4 linked regions of the Struthio camelus genome follow. The protein of the gene in region 1 purifies or fractionates together with the protein of each later gene. This does not show direct contact. Links are inferred from orthologs where the notes say so. Each region holds a gene or a part of one and is shown in the gene's direction. Other genes may lie near its edges. The genes, in order: POMK, GHITM, LRP6 and TMEM59.

Region 1 (7,462 bases):
ATATAGTGCTTCTCCTACTAGCCGATGGTCCAGACACCGTGCTGATGCAAAATGGAACAGCTTCCTGGCCTTCAGCTGAGCCACAGCTCTTTGCACCAACTGCAGTCCTAACCATATCTAGATACTGCTATTGAATAACTGTCTCAGCTGTACTTTACCATTCCAGCTCTCATGTTTGAAGAACCAGTATTTTCCTCCTCCATAGTTAACAAACACCATAATTATAAGAGAGAGCCTATAAAGACAACAAACACACACAGAAAGTACCACATGTCAATGAAATACATATGTATGAGCGCAGAGTTCATGCTTACCCTATTAAAACATTTCTAACTGTAAATCTGGTTTATTTTACTTTTAAAACAAGATTATGTACAAGGCTTCCAGCTTTGCTTCCCGGGAGGCAGCATTTCAAAGATCAGAGGTACTGGTGAACCAAAGTAAGCTCCTTCACATAGCATGTTCACACTGAGAAAGAGGTTGTTCCTTCCCACCTTCCACTGCAACTTTAATGCTTCCTCAGATGAGCTCAACTTCAAAGTGTTTCAGAAAATCCAGGAATTAAAACCCTGATTATCTTCCTAGTAAAACAGACACCCCCCACCCCGAACTCTTCATCTTCTACATAAACCTATACATTGTCAAACCACCTTTGGAAAATCTGATTCCCCTTGGAAATGCAGCTCTTGGGGAAAGTCTCTGCTCACCCTCGGAATGTGTCCAGGGAACGTAGCCGCTGCTGAGAGATGGCACTCCACAAATGCTGTGAGGGATCGCTGCTAAGGGAGTCCACTCCATTTGGGGACCCGAGCTCCTTAGGGAACAAACCAGACACATGAAGGGGAAGTGAGTAGCTGCACCAACTGCCTAGGGAACAGATGACAGCAAACTAAGGCTTAGGTTCCTGCAAACTTTCAAACACAACTTACTGTGTTTGTGTCTGTTCTCCCCATCTTCTCTTCCTTTTGCTTCCCCACTTGCTATTTTTCACCCCTTCATGGCTCAACCACGTTGCAATCAACTTTCATGTCAGAAAAATGCAGATGTTTCACACTCCCCCTTTGACCACAGTGGAAACAATAGTCCAGTGTAAAGAGCCTCTCCTGAACGCTCAGGAGAGCTGGGCTCAATCTAAATCAGCCACAGACTTGCTGTTACTTCGATTGCTGCTTTACAACAGAGCTGAGCAAATCCAGCTGCTGACTCTGATGAAAAGGATCAGTCCCATCCCATCCCATCAGCACTTGTCTGACAGCACAGAGAGACTGATTACAAAGCTAAACTGGCAGGAAAAAAGAAGAAACTCCGTTTAAAAACAGGAGTGGCTTCTTCCTTGTCTAGTTCCCTAAATCGCTCCAATCAGCTCCAGTGACAGTATAAAGAAGGGGACACTGCTGCAAAATAGCTACAAACAGCTACAAAAATCACTGAGGAGCTCTGCTCGCAGCCCTTTCAATTCCAGTCAGGTTCTGACCTCCTAAACGTGAAGCCCAGATGGCGATGACCTTGCTATCTTCCTGTAGAAAACATGGCACATACACAGAAATGCCAGCTCTAGGGCTGCTAGAGAAATCCTGCCTCAAGTGCAGATCCCGTAAGACTCCTATTGTGCTGCAAGCAGACACGAAAGCTGGCATTACTTCCCTTCTCTTACGCTGCTTGTGTCAGAACGGGACAATATTTTCAGTGAGATGTTTCCTTCAGTGGAACTAAACAGGGCAGAAAGCTGGATGTTCAAGACTTGCAAGAGTTCTGCTGGGAATCCATTAAACTTGCATGGAAACCCAGTCTAGTGCTCTCCATTGACAAAAAATTGGCTGTCTGACCTCAGTGAAGATTTGCCAAGGGGAACACTTGCCAAGGGGAGCAAGACCAGTAATTAATGAGCTCCAAAACGCCACGGTGGTGTGACTCACCGTGAGGTGGAAACATTACAGACTGCAAATTAAGGATACTGTGGCCACTCACGGAATTAATCAGACGATCAGTTTCTCTCGGATTCAGTTTCTTGTAAACCCAATTCCTGACTGGATGAATTCTGAAAATTAGTAACAGTTAAAAAAAGTACCTCATAACCAATTTCATCTTAATATCAACTATTTAGCAGTATAAATCAAAAGCTGAGACAGCCCCTATTTCTGTTTTCCCAGGTCACACACACTATGCAGTACCTGCAGCCCCAGTTAAGTCCAGTTCTGTTACTACACTGCCCTACACTACAGGCTCAGGTTTGGGGGCTTTATTCTTGGGTTGTTTATAGGCAGGGACAACTCATCTCATCCAGCACACAGGATGGAAGACTGCATACGTTAAATATGCTTGAAGTCTCACTGACTTCTATTGCTGATTCAGGGCTAGGCCCATGAAGAAGTCAAGGAAGGGTGAGGCAGGGTGGTGAGCTTACAGTGGATGTCAGCTGCTCTGCAGCAAATGCTCTATGCACAAGCTTACGCGGCTGTAAAATATTCCTCAATAGAAATTTCATCACTCGGCTTTTATTCTCACACGGACAGCTACCACAGCTTAACTTGTGCATAGCAGCCTGGTAATGGGAGAGGACCTGCCAGCAGGGCTCCAGCGGGACTCCGAAGCACTACCACGCTACAAGAAGAGCTTTTAAACCAGCCGCCCCATTTCACGTGTACCCATTTCAGGCGTTACAATACTGCTCACTTACTTCATGAAAAGGCGTCCAACAATCACGATAGCAAGGATCCCCATGTAAACCAGGAACGCAAACAGAATAGCTACATGATAGAGAGAAGACGACAACTCTGTACCTGATTTAACAAAGCCGTTCAGCAGCCTGGGTCTGGCCGCATGAGATATGAACACAACAACCAACCCAACCCACCATTCGTCACACCACCTCCTCCGCACAATACATAGCCACAGCCTGAGTCCCACAGAAAAGAAAAGAAAACAAAAATAGGCTAGTTTTGAAGTGCAGCTCAGTGACTGCAGAGCTCAGCATTAGCAAAGCAAAATAAACTGCACTGCACCACAAGGCAATGGTGAAGAAAGAGCCGATGACGAAGAAACGCGAGAGATTTAGAAATGGCCTCAGTGCAAAGAGGAGAGGTAATACGCCAAGCTAGCAAGCATGGAGGATATTTCTTTACAGTCAGAGAATTGGAAGGATTGGAGAATAAGCTAATAAAAAGAATGGAAAAGATGTTGATCATCGTTTCAAACAGCCCTGGAAAACAGACAAACAAAAAAAGCAAGACAACAGGTTTAAAACTAAAAAAAAAAATCCAAACACTGCACAAATTGTTTCCATTTTGTGGGAGAAGCAAGACAAGAGAGAAGAAGCGGGAGGGTCCTGTGTACATATATATACATGCAGGGAAACAGGAGCTAGCTACTAAAATGTCTCCTTCCAGACACATATCCACTGATGTTTCTGGACTAATCCCTGCTCCAAAGAGGCTGCGCTCTCCAGTATCTCCTGTGAGAGGCCTGATCCTGGTCAGAGCCTCACTATGAAGGGTGTGAAACATAAGGAGGTAACAAGCTGCGAGAGAAGAGAAGCAGGCCCACGACACATCTTCAGCACAGCACAACTGGCTGCAGGGGCTTTTAGGAAGCCAGTTTTGCCGGGAGACACGCAAATTGTCGAATGAAAGGGGAAAATAGAGCATTACATACGGAGGTAGCTGTTGATAGGGCCTTCGTTGATGATTAGGTCACAAGAAACGGTTTGGGTGCTTCTACTTAGGGTCTTTACCTCGAGGGAGTAATTGCCAAATTCTCCAAAATGATAATGAATCCTGCAAAGGATAAAGGAAATGAAACTTGCTGAGCACATCACTGCTACGCGCAGGTACCACAGCAGCATTTGGGGACTCGAAGCCTGAACGCTTGTAGGAAAAGCACGCTGAAAACTCGGCCTAAGGGAGTGACGTAGCAAGGAGCTACCTGGTCCCACCTTTGCCAAGGTCACCCTCCCCAAGCCGAGCACGCATGCGGTTTGCCCGCAAGCCCTCCTATATCACCTGTCTGCTTGAACTGCAGCTTCTGTGCAAGAGAAACTAGGCACAGGTGGACGCGCATGCTGGCACAACATGTACCGTGTTGGCTCCTGCTTGCGCCTAGAACCTTTCGGCACAATTATAACATGAGCCGTAGTTAGAGCAGTGTGAGGAAGACTGACTTCTGGGCCTAAACAGTCAGGAAAAAGGGGGTGATGAGCAGGCAGTAATTCCTAGGTGCATAGCGGGAGGAAAAAAAAACAAAACAAAAACCAAAACCAACCAAATATAGCAGGCAGCTATCCTAGCGTTACCCAGGGATGAGCCACGTACGTGCAGAGCTCTCTGTCTCCTGAAAAGCCATCGAGCAGCAGGGTGAGCGGATGCTGGGTGTCCACGGCCACCGTCACCGTGCTCGGTTTTCTCAGGCTCTCGTTCCTTGCCGGGATGAAGGCCAGAAACTGATAGGAGCACTAGGAAAGAAGAGAGCCAAGTTGAGGGCCCGGAAAACGCAGCGGGAGCCGACAGCACCACCCACGGCGGGCTGCTCTCTGGTGATTTAAAAGGAAAAGAGGATCCTGCTGAGCGACCCATGGAAACAGTAAAAAGCGAAGACTTCCGCAGGTGGGAGCGGGTAGCCCGGCACCGTAAAGCCGAAGTGGGGAAAGGCGGCGATTCCACCGGGAAGGGGATATAAGCGCCGAAGCGGCGGGGCAGAGCCGGGCGGCGCCGGCGCTCACCTGGTGGCAGGCGGCGGAGGCGGCCGAGAGCCGCAGGCCCTGGCCGGGCAGCGCGTTGCGGACGAGCAGCAGCGCCTGGTCCATGCGGCCCCGCGGCGGCCCCGCGGGGGGCGCGGCGGCCCGCGGACCCTCGCCGGGCGCCTGCGGCGGGCCCGGCGCCAGCAGCGCGCCGCCCAGCGCCGCCGCCACCACCACCGCCGCCGCCGCCGCCGCCGCCATGGCGCCGCGCTCCGCCCCTGCCTGCAGGGGCCGGGCCGGGCCTGGCCGAGGCGGCGGCGGCGGCGGCACCGCTCCGGGAAGTACGCTCACCCTCCCGCCCACCCCTCCCCCTCCCCTCCCCTCCACCCTTCGTGATTTTCCCTCGCAACGCCCGGCCGCGGCGCCTCCTTCCTGCCGGCTCCCCTCCTCCTTCTGCAGCGCCGAGGGCCCCTGTGCAAAGAGCCCTGCGCGCGGCGTGAGCGCCGTGTTGGGAAACCACAGCCAGATGTTGAGGCAGCTGCCAAACTCCCAGCTGCTTTTCACATCCGCTCTGGGCACCGGGTCGTGGAGTTTCTCGTAGATCAGGCTCTCCGCTCGAGGTTATGGTGTCTGCAAGGCAATGGTATAGCCTGCAATGGAAAAGCCCCGCAGACATCCATCCCTGGGCATCTCCTGCCCAGAAAGACTTCTCCTGCTAACTCTTGCCTGTGTCTTTTACAGAGAATGTAGAAGGCAGTGCCATGGAAAAGAAATCGCACTTCATTAAAAGAGAGTTTCTGCAAAGGGAGGTACCTTTGGTCTTGCTGGGGCTGCTGCTTGTGACCGTCCTGCTCCTTAATGGCCTTCTCTATCTGTACCTCAACAATTTTTACGGCTCTTCTGGACGTGCTGATACGGACCCCAGCCTCTGCCCTTTTGGGTACTTCAAATTAGGAACGGCGAAAAATTGCTCCCCATGGCTGTCCTGTGAAGCCATAAATAAGGAAGTAAGGAAACTCAAATGTGTTGGTGAAGGAGCTGTGAAAAAGGTGAGTTTGGTTTTCCTTTCTTTCCCCACCCCGTGGAAAAACTCGTAAGCATAACAGCTTGCAATATTAGCTGGCTGATTAATGTCTATACTGCTGTTAAGATCCCCACAGCAGCTAGTTGCTGTAGACATCCAGAGGACTATGGCTACTGGTAAGCTATGCCAAAGAGGTAGGACAGCGGGTCCTGGGGCCAATTTCTACCTCGCTTGCACCCAATGGCATCCAGCTACGCCAGCAAAATCACGGGGCTGGGTGAAGTGCTTGTGGGGCGTGATGCAATCATGACAGATAAAGACTGGCTGATACAAACTGGGTGGGATGAAATCCTTTGATCATTTAATCCATCTGTAGTGCCCATTCCAAAGAAAAACTGAAGAAATTGTGATCTACTGCATGCTGTAATTACAACATCTGTAAGCCCAGGTATGTGGGGCCTACCTAAAGGCTTCATGCTGTCGTAATGCTGTCATGTGTTAACACAGGACTGTGCCCAGTAACTGTAATTGGAGAAGGCTCCACATGTCTTAGGCGTCTCTTGCATGTTCTCAGGTCTTTCTTTCTGAGTGGAAGGAAAACAAAGTGGTCCTTTCACAGCTCACCAACTCAGAGCTGCAGGAGGACTTTCTCCACGGACTGAAGATGCTGAAAGCACTACAAAGCAAGCACGTTGTCCGCCTGCTTGGCTACTGTGAGAAGCAGTTCACAATACTCACCGAGTACCATCCTCTAGGCTCCCTGAGGGGCCTGAATGAAACTCTGCACACGCCTAAGTACAAGGGCTTGAACACCTGGCATCGCAGGTTCACGCTTGCTATAGACTACGTGAGCATCATTCGTTTCCTGCACAGCAGTCCCTTGGGCACCTTAGTGATGTGTGACTCTAATGACCTGGACAAGGTGCTCTCTCAGTATCTCCTCACAAGTGACTTTCGCATCCTGGTGAATGATTTGGATGCTTTGCCGCTTGTGAACAGGAGTGCTGGCGTCCTGGTGAAGTGCGGTCATCGGGAGCTCCAGGGTGAGTTTGTAGCGCCTGAGCAGCGTTGGCCCCACGGAGAAGAGGTGCCATTTGATGATGATCTCATGCCCCCCTATGATGAGAAAACAGACATATGGAAAATCCCCGATGTCTCCAATTTTTTCTTGGGCCATGTAGAAGGGAGTGACATTGTGCGACTGCATTTGTTTGACATCCATGCAGCGTGTAAGAAGAAGGACCCAGCTGAAAGGCCTTCTGCCCAAGAGGTCTTAGACACCTACAGGAAAGTTTTGACTCTGCTTATTCGGGAGGCTGCCATGCCTGGTACCAGGGAAATGTTGTAGAGAATCATGGGACGAACATTGGACTGAAGTTGGTGTCCTTCCTATTTATTTAGCTTGCCTGAAGACTATAATGGAGCAAGCTCTCTATCCCCCAAACTGAAAAGATAAGAACCACCAAACCTGTACTTTTGTCTTTTGACTAAAAAAAAATTCCACCCAATGTTGGGAGCTGTGTGAGTTTCCCATTAACATGTTTTATCTATCATTGGAAGAGGGGGGGGAAGAAGAGAAATGAAGTTGCGTGGATGTGGTGGGTTTTCTGGGTTTTCCTCAAAACCCAGGAAACTATATTTTTAAAAAAAGTCCATTTTTACCAGGAAAGAATTTGAAAGCAAAAAGAAATGTTGACCCACTTGAAATGACTGTCAGAGGCCTGGAGAGCGGAGACTGACCCAAGCCCCACTGAGAGCTCTTTACA
Region 2 (7,271 bases), on another chromosome or scaffold:
CAGGAGCTACAGATTAAGTTTGAAAATCCCCTGTAACATGTTGGGACAGCGATCTGAAACGCTACAGTCAACACAGCCAAAAAGCATTCAAAACATTTTTCTTCAGCTCTAATTTGAAAAACTTCAATGGCAAAGTTCACCCTAAGGAGAAATTCTGCTACCTCCAGACTCATTTATTTTCTGCTGATGAACACAGCCATGTGAACAGTTGATGAGGTTGTCTCTTTCTGCAAGAGGATGTCAGAGCTGCAGAATTATAAGGTTAAACTTCAAAATTCACAGCGACCCTATTTATTAACACAATTAGGGGCTTGTTGTGGCTCATACTGCTTTCCCGGATTGCACTGGGCTAAACATAAGGATTTGTCACGGTCCTGTTTAGGGTGACTGGCAAGGCAGAGCGCACAGCTGAAAATACGTTACACGGTGTTTCCTGGAAGAGGACTGCACTACTGGCCGTCTGCACTTCTCTGTCAAGACAACGAAACCCCTTAACGAACCAGTTATCAGTGTGAACAGACTGATTACACTGCTTGGAAATACGTGATGTTTCTCGCAGGAGACCTGAGGGGGGACTGAGCAGGGGCTCGGACCGGTCCCTTCAGGGCTGCTGGCATTTAGTCCAGCCTCCCTGGGACACGGCAGCTGGGGAACTCCCCCCCCTATGCCATGGCAGCAGCAGAGTTTGATGAACCGCCGCTCTCGCCCTCCTCCCCCGGCTCCTGCCCTGCCGAGCGGCAGGGTTTGGGGTCTGCCCTGCTGCCTCCCAGCTGCCATGCATTGGGATGGTGGGCTTCAGGGACACTCGACTTCCTTCTCAGTGGTGCTTCCTGCTGCTGCAAAATATATAATTGCACATTAACTGTGTTAGATCCTGCCTAGATAATTACAAAATTTCCAGCAAATACAAAACGTTTTGCAAGTGAAAACATGGTCTGTTGAAATTATAGGAAGCTGTGTATCACTGAGTATCCCTGTTTATCCTTTTGATTTCCGAAGAAATGTTCCACCGCTTTCAAAGTATCTTTGCGATTTTTATTTTTTGAAGAGTTTTGTTTCTTCAGAAATGTCATCATTTCCATACATACTGCCTGAGGAAAATGTTTACTGTTTTCCAAGCAATTCTTATTGGTGCATATCAGCCCCCCTCAAAAAAGAGGGTCCTTCAGGAATCATCTTTATGTTGACATTGCATAGAGTCACAGAATGGTTGAGGTTGGCAGGCACCTCTGGAGATCCTCTGGGGTCCAGGCCCCCTGGTCAAAGCAGGGCCAGCAAGAGCAGCTTGCCCAGCACCATGCCATCAGGTTTTGAATATCTCCGAAGATGGAGACTCCACTACCTTTCTGGGCAACCTCTTCCAGTGTTCGATCACCCTCACAGTAAAAAATCTTTTTCTTATGGTTAAATGGAATTTCTTGTATTTCAATTTGTACTCATTGCCTCTTGTCCCGTCACTGGCCACCACTGAGAAGAGTCTGCCTCTGTCTCCTTTACTCCTTCCCATCAGATACACACAAGTAAGATCCCCCTGAGCCTTCTCTTCTCCAGGCTGAACAGTCCCAGCTCTCTCAGCCTTTCCTCTTCTGAGAGATGCTCGAGTCCCTTAATCATCTTAGCGGCCTTTCGTTGGACTCGCTCCAGTAGCTCCACGTCTGTCCGTCACTTCCCTTGATCTGCTGGCAACACTGTTCCTAATGCAGCTCTGGATGCCGTTGGCCTTCTTTGCCACAAGGCAATGTGGATTGCTGGCCCACGTTCAACTCAGTATCCTCCATGATCACAGGGCCCTTTTCTGGGAAAGCTGCTTTCCAGCTGGTCAGCCCCAGCCTGCAGTGCCTGGGGTTGTCCCTCCCCAGGTGCAGGACCTTGCATTTCTCTTTGTTGAACTTCTTGAAATTCCTGTTAGCCCATTTCTCCAGCCTGTCAAGGTCCCTCTGAATGGCAGCACAACCACCAGTCTTGTATCATCTGCAAACCTTCTAAAGGTGCACTCTGCCCATCATCTAGGACATTAATGAAGATGCTGATCAGTCCTGGTCCCTGATCCAGGTGCTGGATGCACAGTGCATTTGAACACAATGCCATAAAGGAACAGTGCATCGGAGTTAAGCAGCAAATTTTTATGTGTGCATTTGGCTGCCATCTCACCAATGAGCCTTGCTATCACGCTGTTATCCATGCTTTTGACAGCATGAGCTTGAACTACTGCAAAAGCCCAGCCAGCTGCTTTGAAGCTCTGCAGTAACATGAGGCTGCGTGGTGACTGAAGCTATTGCCTTCCTGTCTGAGAAAAACAATAATTTTACGGTGGCACCAACAGATAGGCTCCAACCTGCTGGTTTTAACTCAAAAGCTCTTAGATGGATTGGGACTTGCTTACATAACAGGCCACTGTTTTTCCACTTGTTAACAATCAGTGCTTTAGCTGGCATTTAAATTTGTTGACCATCTAGCAGAAGAGGAGTATCTGCTAGCAGAAGAATTTATATGAAAAAGTCTCAACTGCTGAATTTGCTGCACTATGGGCCCTTTGTGGATTTGGTAGCTTCTGGCAAAACTATTTATTACAGAAACAATTTGGCACAGAGCTGGATTGATGATCTTATTTGAAAGTCCCAGGAGATTTTTTTACATGATTATGATGCTGTAGCGAGAGAGATAAGTTTGATTCCTTGCATAAATTATTACTATTAATAACTGAATTATAAATTTAAATACTAATTATTATAATGAATCCTTTAGTACATAACAATTATAGAGTGTTACAAACTCTAAAATAAACACTGTAAGCCTCTAAATAAACAACCTATTTATGGCCTGAAACTGGCAAATTTTTTTTGCAATTGTAGAAGACCTAGGGGCTACAGACTTCAAAGCCCTGGATTTTCATTTACTACAAAGGAAAGTAAATAAGCTTCAGAGAAAATAAGGCTCAGACCTTGAATCCCATTGGATTTGGCCCCCTCTTATGGAATTTCCTCCCTGATATAGTACATTCTTCTGCTTCAGTCTCTTCATTCAAATTCTTCTTCAAGATTGCATGTGCTATTGCATTTCTAGACCTCTTCCACATCTGATCTCTCTTATCTGACTTTCATTTTGCAAACTAGCAGGTCAGTATAGTCTATTTCTTAGTTTATAAAAGGAAACTCCAAGGTATAGGGAGGCTAATTTCATGATCCTTAACAGGTTTTCTCTATTTCTGTACTTCATTCTTTTTTCCACACCTTTTCTGTTATATTTGCCTTTGATCTTGGCCTCAAGGCGCTCTCAGTCTGTTTCACTTGGCTCTGAAGAACCATGCCCATATGTAGCGTTAAGGCTGAAAGAAGCTACAGAGCTGTAGCTGGAGCGGGGCTGGAAAAGGGCTGCCAAAGCAAACTTAGGGCTGCCAAAACAATTCTCCTCTGAAGACTACTGCGTTTCTGAACAGTCAGTCCCTGGCTCGTGGCTCAGACTAGGGTTAGGGTCCGCACTGAAAGCCAGAAGCGCAGCTGGAACAGGGCTGGAGAAGAGCCGACCAAGGAGAAAGAGAGCTGTGAAAAGAGTTCTGCTCACAAGCAACACTGAGTCTCCGGACTGAGCAGTGTCCCTGGCCTTTGGCTTGGCCTGGGCTTGGGCTTAGCGTTAGGGCTGGTGGAAAGAAAAAGCCAGAGCTACAGTTGGAGCAGGGCTGGAAAAGAGCTGCCGCAGGAAAATGAGGGCTGCAAAGAAGAAACCCCCTGAGGAAGTCAACAGTCTAGAGAAACGCTGCTGTGCCTTGTCTACGGCTCAGCTTAGGGTTAATGTTAATAACAGAAAAGAAGCCCAGAGCCCCAGCTGGAGCGAGGCGGGAAAGAAGCTGCCGGCAGAAAATCAATGGTGGCGAAAGGTTTCTCCCCGGGGAACGGTGAGGCTCTGGCAGGGCTGGGAGCCCTGCGCGAGGCCCGGCCCGGGCAGGGTGAGGGCTAGGGTTGGTCCTGCTGGAGTCACACCTCCCTCTGAGCTGCGCGTACAGCACCGTATTTTGTACTTATCTGGCATCTGCACCCCGGGCGCTCCCACCCCAAAGCAGGTAATACCTCCACGCCAACAGGTATAACCCCAAGAAGAAAGGGTTAAAAAGGACGAAATACCTCCCAGCTCTGAGTAAATCACTCAGGTGTAAAGGGAAGCAAATGGAAAGGTCTTGAGCTTTCTGACGCCCTGAGAAGAGCAGGGCGTTAGCTCACACGCAGCCAGCGGCAAGGGGAGAGCAGCCGCGGGCAGGCCGAGCCCCAGGGGAGCACCGCGGGCACCAGCAGCGGCTCGGGTCCCCTCGGCCCTCCTTGGCACGCCGCAGCAGTCGGGCAGCCTCCGCTCCCTGCCATTTTAACGCCCGCGTCAGCACACCGAGCTGCTCGCTGACAAAATGGAGGGCAAAAGCGCACAGAACAACTCGGATTATGACACTCCTCGAAGGTAAAGTTAACTTTTAAAGCTTTGCTCTCATTTATTTTCACAGAGCGCATGCCACCTGCTGGAAAAAGGCAGCAACTCCTTTACAAACCGGAGCGCGCACAACGCACGGGACCCCGCTCCGTACCGGTGCGGTGAAGAGGGCGAGACACGCGTGCTGAGCATCCTCCGGACACGCACGGCAGGGGCTGAACGTAGCCCACGAGGGGAAGCAAACCAGGACCCAGGAGCAGACCCGCCCGCGCCTGCCTCGCCGGCGTGGCGCGCCCGGGTAGGCCCCCAGCCCGCCCCCAGCGCCTCCCTGCCCCCACTCAAAATGGCGGCGCCGGCGCTCAGCCGCCGCGCGTAAAATGGCGGCTAGCGAGCGCTGCCGTCTGTCGAGATAGCGGCGGCTGGCCTCTGCCTCCTCGCTCAGGGCGGCAAGCGCCGCTGAAAGCCCTCCGAGTCAGGCTCGCAGAGCACAGGGCCTCAGTTGTTGTTTGCGCGACCAGAAACCAGACCGCAAATACTGCAGAGCCCTATCGAAGATGACTTCCAGAAGTTTCTCTGGCCGTATTAAAGATGGTTCCTGCGCCTTCCCTGACGGCTGCGGGTGACGCTTCGCCCGGCCGCCTCGAGCCAATGGCGCTTGCGTGCTCGAGGGTCACGTGGGACCAGCGAGCCAGTCACCGGAGGTTCCGGCAGGCGCCACACGTGACTTCCGCTACCGAGGCATCGTTCCGGCCTGGGGGATCGGCGGCGGAGCTGGTTCGGTGGGGCTGAGCGGCGGGTGCGCGGCGGTGCGGGGAGGGGGGCGGCCGGCCGGCCGGCCGGCGGCTCTTCATCGGTGCCGGGCTGTCTCCGCGGGGCGGGCGGGGGAACGCTTGTTGAGGGCCGCGGCTGCTTCGGCGGAGGGGGCCGGGCCGGGCCTGGCCTGGCCTGCTGTGCGCCGCCGTCGCCTCGGCTGGGCCGCGCGGCACGGGCGGTCGAGCAGGGCAGAGTGTGACCTGGGGAAATCAAGGGAAATAAAGGCCGCTTCAGGGGCCGAGGTTTTGCCCCTCGCGTGCCTCTTGCTGCCGTGTCTGCCTTTGTGAAGGCCGTCTGGGAGTGTTTTGTGCACGGCAGCGATAGTGAGGCCTAACTCGTTGTGGTTTGCTGTAGTAATTTTAGAGATAACAGAGGTATGAATTGGAAGGTGGCTGCAGAGGAGGGGGGGAGGAATGTACGCAGGCATTTTGGCTGACATAGTGAATAGGGTTGACCTTGTTCCCTCAAGGTACAGTTCTGGTAGGTCTCCCTGGAGTAGAACTGGTTTCCTTATGGTATGGTGCGGCAGTAACTTCACAGTATTTTTCTTGCTGCTGCATTTCCCAGTAGGAATGCTGAAATGTTGATAGTGTTTTATGTTTTTAATCTTGTGCAGTTACCCATTTTTCCTGTTAATGTAACGTTTGGAAAAATTAGCTTCTAAAAAACAAAAAATCACAAGAGCAGTCACTAAGTTCTGAAAAGTATTTCCTGAGTGTGGTGTTGGGGTTTAGTAGAACAACTAGGATGTGTCTCTGAAAATACTTGTCTTGCATAAATAGGATTTCGTAACTAAGCTTCAAAGAAGCGTGGCTTTTTGTAGTGGCAAAACTATTTTGTTTCATTTTTCACTTCTCTGCAGTTGATCTGCAGTGTCTAATGCTGTGGGTCCTCGCTTTTCATTCATGTTCGAAGTTATCTTTGTTCATTGTACTCTTAAATTATATCTGACACTATATAAATTATAAACGGTTGTTAGAATAAGTATACTGATAGTTGGGGTGTCTTTTGGAAAAAGAGATTATATGTAGATATAAAGTATGTGAAACTAGGAGGATTTTGTTTCTTTTACAAGTGACATATGCAGTGTTTATAGAGGAGAGTTGGCAATTTTAATAGCACCTATAGTATATTCAGGCTGATCTTTGCCTGTCCTAGGGAATCCGCTCAGGTTTGTGACCTTGACTAAATGCACTGTCCATAATACTGGCTAATCCTTCAAAGATAGGATTTAAAAACTTTTTTTCTGAAACTGTCTGCCACGTATATTATGCTGTGGGCTCATTTGACTGTATAGTTAGCTGATGGCTGTGTAAATTTGGAACACTTCTTGCTCTTTGGAGGGCAGAAAGTTGATGCAGTGTTGTTTCTCAAAATGGAATTAGTTGCCAAAGTAACTCGAGCCTGTAACTGGATGCCCTTTATGAGCGCATAACGGGTCTTGATGTAACCCATATGTATGAGAAGTTGTATTGTCCTTCTGTTTTTTAAAGGAAGAACCTTGATGTGGGAGATAAGTCTCTGACTGAACTGGGAGACAAATATAGATAGAACAGAGTGAAATTGTATATTAAAAGAGCTAGAGTGTTCTTAAGTTACAATACTTCAGTATTAGTACTGTTTCTATTATGTAGGGCAGCCTAGTCAAGCATGAGGACTAGGTGTAACGTTTTGTCTGAAAACCGAGTAACCAAATAGTAAAGTATGTTTTCCTTGTGCACTTGCAGGAATATTGTGTCTTAACCGTTTAAGCAACCATGCTGGCTGCAAGGCTAGTATGCCTGAGGACGTTACCATGCCAGGCTGTCCGCCCTGCCATTATTCAGGCTTCGCCAGCTTTGAGGAACACCAATATAAAAGCATACAGGCTGTGGCAGCCTAGCCAGGTGAGGTAATTTTTCTAATGTTTCTTATTGCTCATGTATTAAAGGGTCAAATGGCTTTTTTTTTTTCCCCAAAAGAATCACTTTGCAGGTAATCTCTGTTGTGAATGATCATGAGCCTTCCACTTGTTTATGGCCTTTGTGCTCTAAGTGAAGGAAGTG
Region 3 (7,884 bases), on another chromosome or scaffold:
GTGAAGAGATACACGATGCTTCACCAGTAACTAATTTTTAAGCTTCAAAGGCTAGAGTGCAAATCAGAACTGGTAAATATTATGGAAGTGCATTGCAAAATGCTGAACTCCATGAAAAGGTTATGAAAAGGAAGTATTTTTAAATTGTTGTTGCTTAAAATGCACGCACGTTATGGTTAATAGAGCCCAGATGCTGCTCATTTTTGAAAATTTTAGCAAACTAAAACAAAAAAGTGTTTTGGTTCCTGTCAGCCTGAAATGCGATCTCTTTTAAAAGGATATTTTAGCTGCATCAGCCCAGCATTAAAGTACTTTACAAATTTTGGAACTGTAACTTTCTCAAATGACATTTTTATAATTCAGCTTTGAAATGTAGCCATGGCTAAATATTCATAAGGCAAGTATTGGGTTTGCCCTGTGGTCTGGTGGGCAGTGCCAAATTAAAATCAGAATCCTGCACAGTTCACACTGAAAATGCTACAGCTAAGAGGCAGTGCTGTTTTCAACTCACTAGGAGATGGAAGAGGAGAAAAGAAGTAGAAGGTAAATGGCCTGGCCTTGGATTCACCATCAGCATCAGTCCAAAAATTCCCCCAAAGGTGTAAAGAAAATGCTCAAGCCTTTGAGGTCATCTATTTCCCATTTCCCTTTGGGGATATCACCGGACTCCTGTTGGAATAGCTTGCCTGTACAGTCTGCTAGGCTCAAGCAGCTTCTCCTCTGTGAAGTTTTTGTTGTAAGGAATTTTTTAGCCATTTTAAGAAATGCACAGTTCTCACCCTGAGCACCAGGCAACATCTTCTGGTAGAGAAGATGAGAAAAAAAGAATGGATATTATACTTACACAGGGGAAAAATAAGATAGTAATGAAGAACAAGGAGAGGAGGCAACTATATGTGGTACAAGGGGACTTCATAGGATATTTGACGGGAAAATTACCACAGAAGTAGTGGGAGTGATAGTGTTTGCTGTGCACTGACAGGCTCTGGAGAACCCCTGCAAATAACTGCAAAGACAAATGAGGTCTCAGGGCCTGGAGAAAACTTCTGGAATACAGCAATGACTATTAGGCCAAGGAAACATGTTGGTAAGCTGCCTATCTCCTGTTGAAAAAGTATGTTTCATATAGTATGACAGTAAAAGTGGGGGACAAAATGCCTCTGCTTATGATTGAACTTCAATAAGGAGTAAATAAACTGATAATCTGTTCCTTAAAGGGAGGACACTGGTGAGCCCATTGCACTCTTGGAGCAGGATAATCCTTGTCAAGCACCTTTAGCATTAAATGATGCTTAAGTTACTTAGAGCTGACCTCCTTTGGGGGAAGTGTTGGATGAAGGATTTTTGTTTATAAATTGCAACTGTACGACCTAGGCAAAGTGGCATGGTAATGATGCTGGAAGTTAGGGTCTCCCATTTATCTGCTAAACGGTTGTAACGCAGAAATCACTGGTGAAGTCATCACTGTGCCATGTCCCATTCCCTAAAATATAGTGCTCCAGACTTTCCTACTGGGGGCAAGAGAGGACTTGAGCTTGAGTTTCAGTATGAAATCTTGGCCCTTTTGAAGTTGGTGAGAGTTTTGCCATGGACTTCAGGGGAACCAGGATTTCACCATGCCATGGCCCATTAATTCTCATCGAGACATTCAGTGAGGGAGCTAATTATGATAGTGGTTTCTGTGATGTGGTCAGCCCAAATTCGTTTGCTGAGTAGCCATCTTCTACCAACAGCTTTTGCTCATTAGGGACTTCAGTCCTGGTCCTACAAAGTCCCATTGCCTTCACTGGAACTCGGGGCATAGCTCAAAGATGTGGTGACTTGGGCAGTCGCTGCTGGTTGAAGGAGCTCCATCTGCTACTCCTTGCTGTCCTGTGTGCTGACACAACTGCTTGTCAGGCTGCACTAGGAACCTGGCCAAGGAACTAATCTGAGTATAAAACACCCCTGCAAAAGCTCTTGTATCATTGAATCACTCTCTGAGGCTGGAGGTAAGGGTATGCCTGTGTAGCAGATTACTTAGATGGTGATTCAAAGGCTTTAGTAGCTAAGTCTTGAGGTAAAGGACACCTGTGCAGATTTCCTAGCTGTTGAAGCCTCTGACTGAATTTGAACAGGCAAATGGTGATTTCTGTTTTTAAGAGAAACAAAAATAATAGTAATCAACAAGAGGAGACTCTTTCTAAAATAAAACAGACAATCCCTCTCCACTCCCACTTGCTTTATTCTGATTTCAAGCTCAAATAATGGAACATAATAAATATTTGAGAAATCTTATCTGTCAGGGGCCTTTCTGAAGCAGGTAATCTTGCCTCCTATTTTACTTTGTAAAAACCTCTGCAATGGAGTTTATTCTATGAATGAATTACAAGTAAAGCTGACAAACTGTAGTATATCGGCTTGATCTTGAATCCTAAATATAGATGGGAAAACGGGTTCAAAAAAGGCTACCTACACTTGAGTAGAGGTAGAAGGATTTGACCCTACAAAGGCTGTGGGAAATAGGGGATAGGCTGAGGTAGGGGAAGCCAAAAATCATTAAATAACTTAGAAGAATGGACTATCATTAAATGACTATCAGGAAAGGAAAGGGCTTGAATTACAGCAAAATGGTGAAATGCATATATGGGAGGGGTGGGAGCATATGAACACTAAAAATAAAACCAGTCAGCTTGGACAGCAGGGAAGATGTCTTTAGCAGTGACAGCAAACAGGCGGGGAATCAGGCTCCCAAGGGAGATAGTCAAGACACCAGAGTGCTTCCAGCAAAAATAGATAAGATGCTAGTGGGAATAGCATGTAGAGAAATATGTTGCATGAGGAACGTTATGACTGTATAGCGTAAGCTAAAAAAAATCACCCAACCCTCTTTTTTTATCTGATTCCAATTAAACAGAGCAAGCAGAACACTGTACTCCCTCTGCCTGTTTCTGCAACATCTAGTTGTGACAAGGGTAAGATGAGGGTTATCTACTGTCTGGGTACATTTTTGTGTGGGAAGCCTTTACCCTCAACCATCTATGCAGCTCTCGTTGGAGTTTGCTCATGCTCCCAGCTGACATTGTCGTAACGCAGGAGGATACTTCACCCAGCAGAGTCAAGGACAACATTTTGTAAGGCAGACCTGGCCTCAGGCAGGTATTGCTCTTGAGTTGCATTGTTTACAGTTTCAAGATCTTTTTTGCAACCTTGAAGGCTGGAAATGTATTTCTTTTTGTAGATGGTTTTAACTGTTATTCTTTTCCAGTAAAAGTTCAGAGTCTGGTATTATCACGACTCCAGGAGCTACAGCCTGATGCTAGAGTCAATCTGCAGTGCCCAGACCTTTAATGTGACCCAGATGTTATCTCCTACTGTAATCATAAGAAAAGCTATGAAAAAGTATGTTCAACAGATATGAAATTAAAAGTTAAATGTTTCCATAAGTTTCTAATAACTCTAAAATAATACAGGCTTTCGAATGTAAGGATTTCAAATTTTGCTTCAAGTTGTTCTGCTTCATAGCTTTCCGCTAGTGAACAGCTCTCGTATTCTGTGAGAGAGAAAGTGGCACGTACATCAACAGTCCCTGTAGAAGTCCTCATGTAGAGTTTGTAAACTGGAGAAAACACAAGAAAGTTGGATTTTGTAGTGCTTAGGAAAAAAGAACAGACTAGGTAAGGAGGGAAGCGTTTTAAAGCAAGGGCATGTTAGAAGATCACAAACTTTTTTTCCAGGAAAAAGGCTGTTTAAGCGGATATAGCTTGTGAAAAGAGCAAGTTATGCCTAAGCACGGCACATTAGCTACTCTTTGGCATTCATTTGCTGTTTCTAACTACTGCTCAGAGTAGTAGTTTGTGCCATTTAGTTTAGTAAGGGGAGGGGGGGGGAAACCAGAATCCCCCTAAAAGTGCCGCGAAATAAATCACATGCCACGACATCAATCAAGCAGCAAGGTCCTATTGATAAAGGAATGCATCTCAGCGCTGCCCTGGGCCAGATCAAGGTTATCAGTCCCCACACAAGGGGGCATGCATTGTAACTGCATTTCGCCAGGAGCGCTTGGTCTTTTTTTTTTTCCTTCTTCTTCCCTTTCTCCGCCTGCTACTGTACTATGAAGCGGCTCGGCCCGGTGCCGGGTGCCCCTGCCTCCCGAAGCCGAGCACGAGCAGGCCGGCGGGAAGCTCAGGGACGCGGCCGGGCACCGCGCAGGCCGACAGCGCCGCCGCGGGGGCTGCGTCGCCATTTGGGCCGGGGGAGCGGCCAGGTACGGCCCGGCCCGGCCCGGCCCGGCTCGCTGCCCAGGGGCAGCGCGCAGGCCCGGCTCCACAACCTCACCCGGCAGGCGCCGCAGCGGGCCCGCGGCCCGACCTCGGAGGACGCGGCCGGGGCTCTGGGCCGGCCAGCCCGGCGATGCCCGCCTTCACCTGGAGGCGGAGGAGGAGCCGCAGGGCCGCGGAGGGACCCTTTGTCCTGCCGCCGCTCCGCGCCTGAAAGTAGTCCCGTCCCTCCCAGGGCTGATGTTGTTCCGAGCGCCGTATCGCACCTTCCTCCCCCCCGCCCCCCCCCAAAAAAAAAAAAAAAAAAAAGAAGAAAAAGGCAAAAAGCAGCGGCGGAGGGAAAGGAAATAGTGCGGGGGGACTGCGCAGCGGCGGCCGGGGGCAGCGCCGGGGGAGGCGCGCGAGCGGGGGCGGGGCGGCCGTGGGGCGGCCGTTGGGCGGCGTGGGGGAGGCCGGTATCCCTGCGCCTGTGCGCGGCGGGCGGGGGCGGGGCCGGGCCGGGCCGGGGCGAGCGGCGGGGCTGCATGGGGGAGCGGCGGCGGCGGCGTTGGCAGTGAGGCGGCGGCGGCCGGGCCGGGCCGGGCCGGGCCGGGCCGGCGTGGAGGGAAGCGGCCGCTGCCGTGGCGGCGCGGCGGGGGAGGCGGCCTGCTAGGCGGCGGCGAAGGGCGATTTGCGCGGTTGCCCTTCTCTGCTCCTCTCCTTTTCCACCTTCTCCTCCTCCTCCTTCTCCTCCTCCTCCTCCCCGCCGCCTGCCCGAAAGTATGAACTGGCAGCGGCGGGGCTGCTCCTCTCCTCCCCCTGCTCCGCCGCCGCCGCCTCCCCGCCGCCGCCGCCGGTGAGAGGGGAGCGAGGGAAGATGGGGGCCGTCCTGCGCAGCCTACTCGCCTGCAGTTTTTGTTCCCTGATGAGAGGTGAGCGGGGCAGCGGGGGGGGGGGGGGGGAAGGGGCGGGCAGGAAAAGTTGACGGGGTTGTTGCGAGGGGCCATGTTGTGTGAATCCAGTCAGGGAAGGCCCCGGTGGCCGGGTCGGGTCGGGCTCCCCGCCCCGCCGCCCCCCCGGCCTGCCCTGCCCGGCCCTGCCGTGCCCCCGCCGCGGTCACCTCGCGGGCAGCCCTCTGGGCGCTCGGCAGGCAGCGCACGGTAGTGGTGGTGGTTATTGTTGTTGGTGGGTTTTTTTGTTTAAGTTTGCCCCCCCACCCCACCGCACCCCGAGCTGGTCGCGCCTCGCCTGTCTGTCCGCTGCGGATGGACAGCGGAGCAGCCCCGGTGAGGCGACCACCAAAACGTCACGCCAGTATTGCTATTACAGTCATCACGTTCCTCTCCTCTCCTCCCCCCTATCCGCGAAAGAAAGCGTTTTCTATTTTTCTTTTTTTTTTCTCCCCCCCCCCCCTCCCCCGCGGGAGGAGAAGTGGGGAGCCCTACACACTCAGCGAGAGAAGGCGAAAGTCTGTTAAAACTAGTATTTCACTGACATTTTCCACACACCCGAAGTAAGTGCAGTATGCAGTTGGCAGGAGGAGTAATGCTCCTCTCCGCTCTGCTGGGGCTGTTTTGGGACTTGAGAGAAGTTTGTGTTTCTGTGGTGGGTTGTGATGAATGCTAATATAGCCTTAAATAAGCATTCCAGTGCGCTACAAACGGATATCACTTAAAATACTTGATATAATTTTTATACCCCTTCCCATCTCTCAACATGACTTCACATATACTTCACGGCAACATCCATTTCTCTGTGTTTGCTTTTCCTGGGGAGAAAGCAGCTGTGATGTTTGCATCCATCGTTTTGTTATTTGTTTGTATTTTTTTCATACTACATGGGAGAGAAGATTAATTGCTGATATTTAAAGAAATCAGCCACACTTTGATTTAGAAAATTAGTCTATTGCCACCATCATTTTGTTTTGAAAGCTGGAGTGAAGGTGGTTTGGGTTGAAGGAGATGCTTGGTAGCCAGTTACTTAGTACTCTAGAAAAGGAAAAATTTCTTCTTCCTCCTACCTTTTTTTTCTGTGCATCTGTTTGCCATATTGTATCCTGTTTGCAAAGATACAAGTATATTTATTTAAATAGGCTATGTAACATTTTGTGGTCCTCTTGCAGCAGTGAAATCCAATTTTCAAAAAGTTCAGTTGGATATGAAGCATAGAGAAGAACTGTTTTCCAATTGGTTCATTTTGTTATGTAACGGCCGTACCTGTTCTTAATGAAACATTTATCTGGCTCTAACTTGCTGTTTAACCTAGTTTGAATGACAGCTCAAAAAAATCACTGTCATACGTAATGTCACACAATAGTAATCACTTATTGTCACTTCTTCAAATTAATATCCAAATAATTACATGTCCTTTTGCGAATGTTCATTTACTTGATGATGCTTAATAAGGAACTTTGAAAAAACACAGTAAACTGTTTGGACTGTCTCTTTTTTTCCCCCTTCTCTCATCTTTGTCGATTGCCAAGGACTTTTGTATCAAAATTGTGTCTTTGTTTCTTCAGAGTTCATGTGCTCCTGCTGCTTGATCACCTACCTGAAGTCTCCATCTTCTATTTGTAACAAGATATTAATTTTCCTACTGGCTAGTTGTTACCTTAGGTAGATATAAACAGCAGGAACAGCTGAACTCAGAAGAAACAGAAATCAAATTTTAATGCATGCATCCTCCCTAACAAACAACATCTCTGCAAGTAGAATTGGTTTGAATAAGATATGTTTGGCTCATAAGAGGTGTCAGCAGTTCCTTAATGAGGCAGAGGCAGTGCCAGCGTGAGTATGAATAAGTATATACATGAAAGTAGCAGTTCTGAAGGTCACTGTTTGGTTTGTAAATTTAGTGCTGTGAAAGGTGCCAAGCCAAAGTATTGGAGACTGAAACCCAGAAAATCTAATAGCATGTATTTGTGGATTGCAGAATCCTCTCCGCTTAGAGAAGTAGCCTCCCTTTTGCCGCTGACTTAGAAAAAGCAAATGGGCAGAGGTTTACGATAGCTACGATCGCTAGGGAAAGGAAATGATGATAGATACGTTTACCAGTGTGGAAAGGATTGAAATTGATAACCTGGAAGTGCAGTGTCCTGTGAGCTTATAGCTTTGGAGAAGTACCAGGCAGTTGCTAGCTAGAGACAGGTGCACAGTACAAGACACCTCTCTACCAAAGTAGTCCAAGGACTGTGATGAGCCAGATTCTGTAGCTGTTTTCAGGGCAGATATTTTGATTTGTAAGGGCCAGGAGGTTAACATCACTACAGCCTGCTATGGAGGCTTTGTAATTTCTTTCATATTCTCTTTGATGGAAGAAAGGGGTCACTTCTCTGAAACTGCCAGACCATCATCACAGTCTGACATCTCTACTCCTCTTACTCCTCTCTTGGCTCCTGGTCTGATGTTGGGGATTGAGCTTTCCTCCTCTCTGAACGTGAGCAGTGTTCAGGGAGCAGCTCCAAGCAAGGCTTGGAGGACTGAGCTTGACCTGCTTCGTGGCAAGTTTGCTGTGCTCTTCATTGCAGCTGTGAATCCAGTCAGGATCTTGTTAGGTAATTGACAACTGCAAAGAGGCAAAAGCTGTAGCATCGGATCAGTTCTAAAACTTTGTAAGTGGGGAAACTGAGATTTCACTCTTTTTAATA
Region 4 (7,998 bases), on another chromosome or scaffold:
TTTATTCTCTTTTTGCTACCCCTCGCTTAATTTGCCCCTCTGTTGGGCTGCGCTAGAAGCCCCTTTGTGTCCATTCAGCCCCATTCTCCCTTCCTCCTTCTATCAGCCCTTTCTCAGGTATCCCTGCTTTGCATTTGCTGGGCCTCTGTGGCTCCCCTGCTTATATATGCTATTCATCCTGCTGATGTAAACTCTATTTGCACATATGATGGTAGCTGCAAGCCAGAGGAGTATTCTTTACCACACTTTCAGGTGAGTTCTGTTCAGAAGTGATTCTGCCTGGTCCCGCCCTCCCTAATACCACTTGTTTTAGGATAGTACCATATCTATCCTCGTCTCCCATAGGTTTACACTTTACCACCAGCATTATCACTATGCATAGACACGTTTCCCAGAAACCTGATTTGACTAGCAGCCTGGGAAAGGTAAGCTCTCCATAAAATCTCCATTCTGAGACCTTCCCGCAGCAACCCATCCTTTTGCTCTGCCTCGGTCCAGATGAACTACAAGTTGGAGAGGCTGTTTTCATGGCTGACAACACATAGCTTTTTAACTTTGCTCTGAAACTCTTGAGCGCCTACCTCTTGACTTGCCATTCAGAGGATAATTAACGAATAAACTAAATGATAATTATTACAGAGTTTCATAGAGCAAGCAAACTGATCATTAAGCCTTTCAGTAAATCCTGTTTGCTTATGTAGAGATACCAGAGGGATCTGGTATTTAGCACCACTTTATATACTGTCAGCCTATGTCAACTCTATGTTTTTGCAATAGATTTCAATTTGCTCATGCTTAATTACTTAAATACAAAACATCCAAAAGGTCCCAGTGTTGCTTTTGCAGCTAATAAGTAGCAGGGAAAACTGTGCGTTCTAACTTCCTTCTTCTCCTATGCAGCCTAGCTGCAGTAGATACGCAACTGTCCCATTTGCTAGTTATGTAAATGAGAGCAATACACACCTCACTTAAAACAAACACGTTCACTTGGTCAAGAACAAAAAAATCTCCCTTGAAAACAAAGCTCCTTATAAATACAGACATGCTGAGAATCAAAGCAAACAGGAACAGGTCATTAGCCTTGTCCTCATCCTGCAGGCAGGATCAGCTTTTTAGTAACTATGTCTGGAAAGGGTTTGTCTAACTTGTTCTTACAGGAAGTTACTCTTTGAGACGAAGATGAATGGACCTGAACACTACCTCTAGATCCAAGGCTTTGCAAAGCATCTTCCGCGCGTTCTTTCTGAAAACCTCAGTCTTGGGATCACTCCTGACTTCTATTGAGGGTTTGTTTGAATGGTCTTTGATGAAAGTTCGCCACTCTGTGTAAACATCCTTTGCAAGGCTGGCCACATCGTGATCTGAATGTTTGCGCATCTTATTCACTGTGTGACCTGGAAAACAGCAACAGCTCATTCAGCTTTGGTAGGTGGGCAAAATATAATGGACAAGAGTGATGTTACAGTGGAGCTAAAGCAGTCACACAAGTTTGTAATTCAGACAGTGACAGCACAATAACCAACGCACAGGCATAAATATAAACATGAAATCACTAGGAGCAGACCCTGAAGTTTTTATTCATTGACCTCTGCAGTGATTCCTGCAGGGCACTGGTGAGGCCATGTCTGGAGCACTGTGTCCAGTTCTGGGCTCCACAGTACAGGAGAAATATGGAGCTATTAGAGGGAGTGCAGCAAAAGGCCACAAAGATGATTATGGGGCTGGAGCATCTGTCATGAGGAGAGACTGAGAGAGTTGGAACTGTTTAGCCTGAAGAAGAGAAGACTGAGGGGGGATCTTATCAATGTGTATAAATATCCGAAGGGAGGGCATAAAGAAGACTGAGCCAGACTCTTTCCAGTGGTGCCCAGTGACAGGACAAGAGGCAGCAGGCACAAACACAGGAAGTTCCCTCTGAATAACTTTGGGGGTGACTGAGCACCAGAGCAGGTTGTCCAGAGAGGTTATGGAGCCTCCATCCTTGAAATATTCAAACCCCAGTGGAACACGGTCCCGGGTAACCTGCTCTAGCTGACCCTGCTTGAGCAGGCAGGTTGGACTAGATGATCTCCAGAGGTGTCTTCCGACCTCCACCATTCTGTGACTTTTGCCTGAGCAATTACCAAGCAATTGAGTAATCTTGTAAGACTGGTCTACAAGAAACACTTTTTTTTTTTTTTTATTAACTAAAAAACCCCTTAAAGAAGCAGATGTGGCAGTGAGGTTTATCACTGTGATGTTTATAATGTTTTAACATGAGAACATCATGGTGCCTCCAAGCAGAATCTTTCCAGTTGACATGAGTAATTCGTTCAGCATGCCGACACCCCAGGTACTACACTGGGGCCTGCCAGTGCAAAGAGACTTTCCTTTGAGAGGAGAAAGAAGAGATCCTTTTCCAACTGGGCATTTTTCTGACCTACCTGTCACGCTAGCAGTAGTGTCTGACTGGTGTTAACACTACTGGCCAGAAGATGTCACTGTTGGTCTTCTGTGGCTTTCTTACAGCCCAGCAGTGCTCAGGGAAGCACTGGGAAAAATCTCAGGAAAAGGCTGAACGAGCTAAAAATGGCAAACTAAATGACAATCCAGAAGGAAGAAGAAAGAGGCAGATCCTGTCTCCTTTTCCAAGGCAAGGAGGGCTCTTTGAATAGAGATCCAGCTGCTCTAATGGCAAACAAAGGTCAAAATGACTTTCTCTCGCTTTGGGGTACTTCAGATACTCTGTGTCATATATGATCTTCACAGACAGGAAAGGCAGGGTCCATGCGGTCTCACATTATTCCTCCCCCCAAGTCCCCACACGGTCAAGCATAGGGCTGTGTTAGTTGCATGGAGCTGCCTATCAGTTGAGGATTTCTCCTTGTGAGAATGCACTAAGCACTTCCGGGGCGTTACGAGGAGAATTCTTGCACGTTTGGAGGACTCAGCCAGGTCTGATGCATAGGCCCTGTCTCAGACCGCAAGGGAGCACTCTGCCATGCCCCCAGCAGATGGCAGCAGAAGGAACAACACACAGACGTGCCTGTGAAAATCTCTTCCAAAATGCTGCCACGGGAGGAGTGATGCAATATTTAGTAGTAAGCAGGCAACCTTCATGTACAGGGAAGAATTAAAGGAGTGCTGACTTTTTTCAGTATGAGTTATGAAAACTGCAGGCTGCGTACCAAGAATTTTTTGTACAGAGACCAGGTAAACCTTTTGAGACGACTGTGACACTCTTTTCTTAAAAAAGGCCTGTGAGCTAGTCCCTGGCAATCTGAGCAGCAAAGGATGCAAGACAGTCTAATAGTCACACTCTAGATCAAGCAACAGGACATACCTATTTTTGTTGAAAGTAACACTTCCTTGGAAGGTATTTTCTTTTTCAGCTCCTCCAAAGCTTCAATCAGATTCTCTTTCGGTTGCCCTGGAAGCTCAAGCATAGATTTCCATCGTTTTATGTCTTCCACAACCACAACTCTCTGGAAAAAAGAAAAACCATTAGGAAAGTGGAATATTCCTACTACAAATAAAGACATTGACTTCATTTCAGCTACTGGGACTGTTATCGACACAGGAATTATTGATTATGACGTGAACCAGAGCACAGAATGCATGGCAGTCTGGAATGATGGGTATTTGCTCGATATTAGCACCCTACTGCAAATCAAGATAGAAGTAAGTTGAAGGCAAAGTAATATGCTTAATCTTATTCTGCCAAGCTCAGGGCACTTAACAGCAAATGTTTGCTACAAGAGAGGTGTTCTGAATTTAAGGAGTCTGTTGTATAAATGCTTCATAATAGAAAAGGGGATAAGAAGATAGGAAGGCAGCTAATTATATCATCCTTAGCAGCCTGGCAGAATCTGAATCTTGTTCAGATTGGTTTTAAAGTCAAAATTATGTCAGCAGAGAGAGAAATGAAGCATCAGGAGCAGCATCACAATCTCAAGTACACCGGCTGTTTGCACAGTGTTTTTCATTTGAACTGTTTATAGCAGGACTCGCTAGAAGGGACTGCGAAACGACGCCAGTCTCATTGCATTCCAGATGTCAGGCCTCTTACAACGGTTCAGCGATGGTCAGACAGCTGATGCGCTCTGTGCTCTATCCTCTTGCTTTGTGCCTTACACGAACAACAGGCAATTGTGTGTGTGTGTGTGCTGTTTCTGCAAAGAGGCAGCAAAGCGGGGCCCAGGTCCTACGTAAGGCAGGACCACTGTGCACCCAACAGCAGGCCTCTCCGGGGTACTCAACGTCCTGGCCGGAGAGAGAGGCAAGCCGCAAAACAACTCTGCGGCTGCCACAGGTGCCAGCCGCCCCTGCCCCGCGCGAGCAGGCCGGAGGGCGCCAAGGCCTACCCCGTCTCCGTTTCGGGAGTCCAGCAGGCCGCTCCCTGCGAGGCCGCCGCGCCAACGCCGCAGAGGTGGCGGGAAGGAGCTGAACCTACCTGGGCCCGGAGCGGCGGGCGGGCAGGGGTGCTGCAACCAACCCCCCCCCCCCGCCCAAAACACCACCCCCCCACACCCCCCGTGGCGGGTTTCCCAGGCGCTAAGGGACACCGGTCTCAGGTTGTTCACCCAAAAGCCCCCCCCCCCCCCGGGCCCTCACTGCCAGCCTCGCTCCTCCTGAGGTGATTTCCCCCCCCCCCCCGCCCCGCGCACAAGGCCTCGGCCTGGCCGCCCGCCCCAAAGCCGCTCTCCCGCGTCCCCCCCCCCACCGAGGCCCGGTCACCTGCCTTGAGGGACTCGAGGGTGACCTGCCGGTAGGCCGCGGCGGGGGCGGCCCCGCGGGGGCGGCCGGCGACGCGGGCCCCGCGCACCACGAACCGCTCCATGCCCCCAGCCGCCCCGCCCCTTTCCGCCGGGTAGTTCCCGCCGCCGGCGCGGCCCCTCGGCGTGCCTGGCCCCGCCCGGCGGCGAGGACTACGTTTCCCAGCAGGCGCCGCGCCGCCGAGGCGCGGGAGGGGGGGTAGTCTCGCGAGACGTCAGCGGCGCCCCCGCCCCGCCCAGCCGGGGCGCTGCGGGAGGAGGAGGAGGAGGAAGATGGCGGCGCGGCGCGGCGGCCTGCTCTACCTGCCTCTCGCCGTGGTGCTCCTGGCCGTTGGGCGGGCCCGGGCGGCTGGGCCGCCGCTGCCACCACCACCCCCACCACCCCCGGGCTCCTCCGAGGCTTTCGACTCGGTGCTGGGTAACACGGCGTCGTGTCACCGCGCCTGCCAGCTGACCTACTCCCTGCACACCTACCCCAAGGTAGGGGCGGGCCCCGCCGCGGCCCTGCCCGCCCCCCCCCCCCCCGCAGGGCCCCTCGTCTCCGGCCGGGGACGGGCAGGAAGCAGCCGTTTTGTTTCCGCCTCAGCCGGAGGGGCCCTGGCGGCGGGCAGAGCCCTTTTTGGGAGGCGAGCGTGGGGGCAGCCCGCGGTGCGGGCGTGCTCGGCTCCGGTCGGCGTGCTGCTTGGTTTTGGGGTGTCTGTGCCGTCCGGCTGAGGTGCTCGACCCCTCGAAGCAGGGGATGCTGTGGCTTTCCCGGATGATACGTGTTTCTCCTCGGAAATACGTGCTTAGCGCGCTGCGAGCCGAAGAGATGCCGCAGGGTCTGAAATACCTCTTTCAAAGAACAGTTTGGTTAACTTGTGGGTTTGGGGTCCTTGCTTTTTCTTCTTCTTTTTTTTTTTTCCCGTCCTATTCCTAAAGAGGTGACTCCTCATTTGACTTAGGCTGCCCTATGTCTTAGAGCACTAAAACAGGACAGTGTCCAAGACAGGCTAAGGATCCTGAGCCAGGACATCAGTGCAACACTTGAGTTTTGGAGGATGGAGCATAAAAAATGGCAGATGAGTAGCTTGACAGACCCTGTATTTTGGATTCACTTGCCCAGGGAATTTTCCCTCTTATGAAAAAGAGCCTGGAGAAATAGCCTCGAAGGGCAATATAATTTCCCACTCCAGAGTTCACTGTCAGTTCAAAGCTTTGTACAGTTCTGAGCTGCTGGTTTGAATTTGGAAAATCCATTACCCGTTTCAAAATCTCATTTTTCGTGGTTCTTTCTTGGCAAAATATCTTTTTATCTATTGCAGCTATTGAGCAGGTTGAATCCTAGGTTATGGGAACTTTTATACCACCTTTGAGGTTTCACGTGAAGGCAGCAGGCGGTAATACGGCAAAAAGATGGTAGCACTAGTATCAGGTAATAGGTCTTTGTTTTCATATGAAACTCTGAATTGGGTTTTGTGACTTGGTAGCTGATACTGGTATTTCCACAGAGGGAAATAACAGGGAGTTGTGTGGAATAACAGTAAATTTGGATCTGCACATATGATGTGTTTTGGTGCCTATGTACAGTGACAGTGAGGAGAAAGAACAAAACCTGAGAATTTATTTAGGACTAAACGTTATCCTAAAATATTTCCATGTTATTTTAGAGTAATTTTCTTGTTTTTGTTATAGGACCCTTTCAAGTTCAAGAAAAACTGATTATTACTGTGATTTTTTTTTTTTTGCAGTACTTTTCAAACTCTTTCTGTTGTGCTGTTGGAGCTGTCGAATGATACAGCCATCTCTTCCATTTCATTTAGTCTTTGTTCCGTTTGTCACAAAGCTACCGGTTAAATTGGAGGAAATTGTTTTAATTGCCATTGAAAAGCAAGACAAACATTGAGACCTGTGTGCAAGAGTGCAATAGAAACATGTCTGCTAAAGTTAATTCAGTGTGGATATCAATGTACATAACGTTTTCTGGAACAACATAACTATCTTAACTCTAACAACACTGATAACATGGCTAAGTTTGAATCTATGTTCCATTTTCTACTTTTGTAAATTAAAAAGCATGCGAACTTGTGCTTTCAGAGAAGCACAATGGCCAGTTCATTTACAGTGGATTGCACAGTAAGGTGTGGTATGTTTGTCTTCTCTTCTATGAATTCAGAGTTTTTTTCCGTGTGTGAAGCAACTGGCTGCAATCATTTGAGTGGTTACGTAGGTAATGGATTTGATGGATTTGATTTTGCTGAGTGATCGCTAATAAGAGTGCTCACATAAAGCAGGCAGTCATTAGTTCTGCAGCGTGAGGAGCACCATGTGTGGGAAGTGCGCGTCCCTGCCTTTGATATGGTGGATAGAGGAAATACTGGGTATAGTTTTTCTGTACTGGCATAATCTCAATGTTTTTTATAGTTACCATAAGGGATTACTTTCCCCTTCAGTTTGATATAATAAATAAAAATACATGTTTATGGAACTAGTTTGGCAAGTAACCGGTTAACCGGGGTACTGGTATAGAAGATAACCTTCTACTTTGACAACTGTCATAGTTCTAATTAGTGTACAGTAACTATATTGTGATGTGTTGTCAAAATATGTCTTTGTTTTGCTCCTCACCTGTTGGGTTCTGATATTAAACTTTTGAGGGGGAGGAGTGTCAACTTCTTGTATGACTAAATGAAGGCTATTGGAGTATGTCAGGAAAGGTTTTTACAGCCAGTATCTCTTATTTTTTAAACCGTCACTTTTTCAGAAACGCAGTGTAAGTTTACTCTGAGTTGTAGGAGGCTGGAATGTACACAACAGTATTTGCTGTTCAGTCTGCCCCACTGCAGAATAAGGAGTTCTATTTGAAATAAAGAAATCAATAGTTATATTACAGTGTTACAGAGCTATAATTTGGTTTGGTTTCATATCATCCAGACTGTCATGTTTAGCTGTCTTCTGGGTCTAGTGTAGGGGAGGAAGGTGATAGGGTGATGCTCAAGTGGATCACTTTCTATAGCTCTTCCGAGGAGGGGGGGGGAGAAAAAAAAAAAAGCGAGGGGAGGGGGGGAGTCTTTGTTTCTTGACATGTTATTTTTGGATGGAGGAATGCAAGTCTCTTCTTGTGCCTTCCCAGGAAGAGGAACTGTATGCGTGCCAGCGAGGCTGCAGACTGTTTTCCATTTGTCAGTTTGTGGATGATGGCATTGATTTGAATCGGACCAAACTGGAATGTGACTCTGGTAAGAATTCAGTACTCCTTCAACAT

What was found.
Region 2: the proteins of POMK (region 1) and GHITM purify together in Homo sapiens (affinity purification with mass spectrometry; 3 studies listed by BioGRID and IntAct, counting the BioPlex papers as one, with this or other methods). This does not show direct contact. The link is inferred for Struthio camelus from reciprocal best matches to the Homo sapiens genes POMK and GHITM.
Region 3: the proteins of POMK (region 1) and LRP6 purify together in Homo sapiens (affinity purification with mass spectrometry; 3 studies listed by BioGRID and IntAct, counting the BioPlex papers as one, with this or other methods). This does not show direct contact. The link is inferred for Struthio camelus from reciprocal best matches to the Homo sapiens genes POMK and LRP6.
Region 4: the proteins of POMK (region 1) and TMEM59 purify together in Homo sapiens (affinity purification with mass spectrometry; 3 studies listed by BioGRID and IntAct, with this or other methods). This does not show direct contact. The link is inferred for Struthio camelus from reciprocal best matches to the Homo sapiens genes POMK and TMEM59.

Annotation. Positions count from the first base shown.
Region 1 is NC_090945.1:5,509,338-5,516,799, reverse strand, and holds the start of POMK (protein O-mannose kinase), read left to right. Parts: upstream 1-4,447; 5' UTR 4,448-4,598; intron 4,599-4,714; coding exon of another isoform or gene 4,715-4,933; intron 4,934-4,958; exon of another isoform or gene 4,959-5,315; intron 5,316-5,413; 5' UTR 5,414-5,433; coding exon 5,434-5,721; intron 5,722-6,270; coding exon 6,271-7,044; 3' UTR 7,045-7,462. Other genes in the region: HGSNAT (heparan-alpha-glucosaminide N-acetyltransferase), read right to left, coding at 159-235, 708-814, 1,969-2,038, 2,678-2,747, 3,652-3,773, 4,308-4,447, 4,715-4,933. UniProt on the Homo sapiens protein: Protein O-mannose kinase that specifically mediates phosphorylation at the 6-position of an O-mannose of the trisaccharide (N-acetylgalactosamine (GalNAc)-beta-1,3-N-acetylglucosamine (GlcNAc)-beta-1,4-mannose) to generate phosphorylated O-mannosyl trisaccharide (N-acetylgalactosamine-beta-1,3-N-acetylglucosamine-beta-1,4-(phosphate-6-)mannose).
Region 2 is NC_090948.1:32,766,713-32,773,983, forward strand, and holds the start of GHITM (growth hormone-inducible transmembrane protein), read left to right. Parts: upstream 1-4,259; 5' UTR 4,260-5,192; exon of another isoform or gene 5,193-5,209; intron 5,210-6,953; 5' UTR 6,954-6,983; coding exon 6,984-7,112; intron 7,113-7,271. UniProt on the Homo sapiens protein: Plays an important role in maintenance of mitochondrial morphology and in mediating either calcium or potassium/proton antiport. Mediates proton-dependent calcium efflux from mitochondrion.
Region 3 is NC_090942.1:81,182,849-81,190,732, reverse strand, and holds the start of LRP6 (low-density lipoprotein receptor-related protein 6), read left to right. Parts: upstream 1-4,869; 5' UTR 4,870-5,115; coding exon 5,116-5,170; intron 5,171-7,884. UniProt on the Homo sapiens protein: Component of the Wnt-Fzd-LRP5-LRP6 complex that triggers beta-catenin signaling through inducing aggregation of receptor-ligand complexes into ribosome-sized signalosomes.
Region 4 is NC_090949.1:32,523,774-32,531,771, reverse strand, and holds the start of TMEM59 (transmembrane protein 59), read left to right. Parts: upstream 1-4,986; 5' UTR 4,987-5,027; coding exon 5,028-5,234; intron 5,235-7,866; coding exon 7,867-7,972; intron 7,973-7,998. Other genes in the region: TCEANC2 (transcription elongation factor A N-terminal and central domain-containing protein 2), read right to left, coding at 1,201-1,394, 3,323-3,464, 4,721-4,819.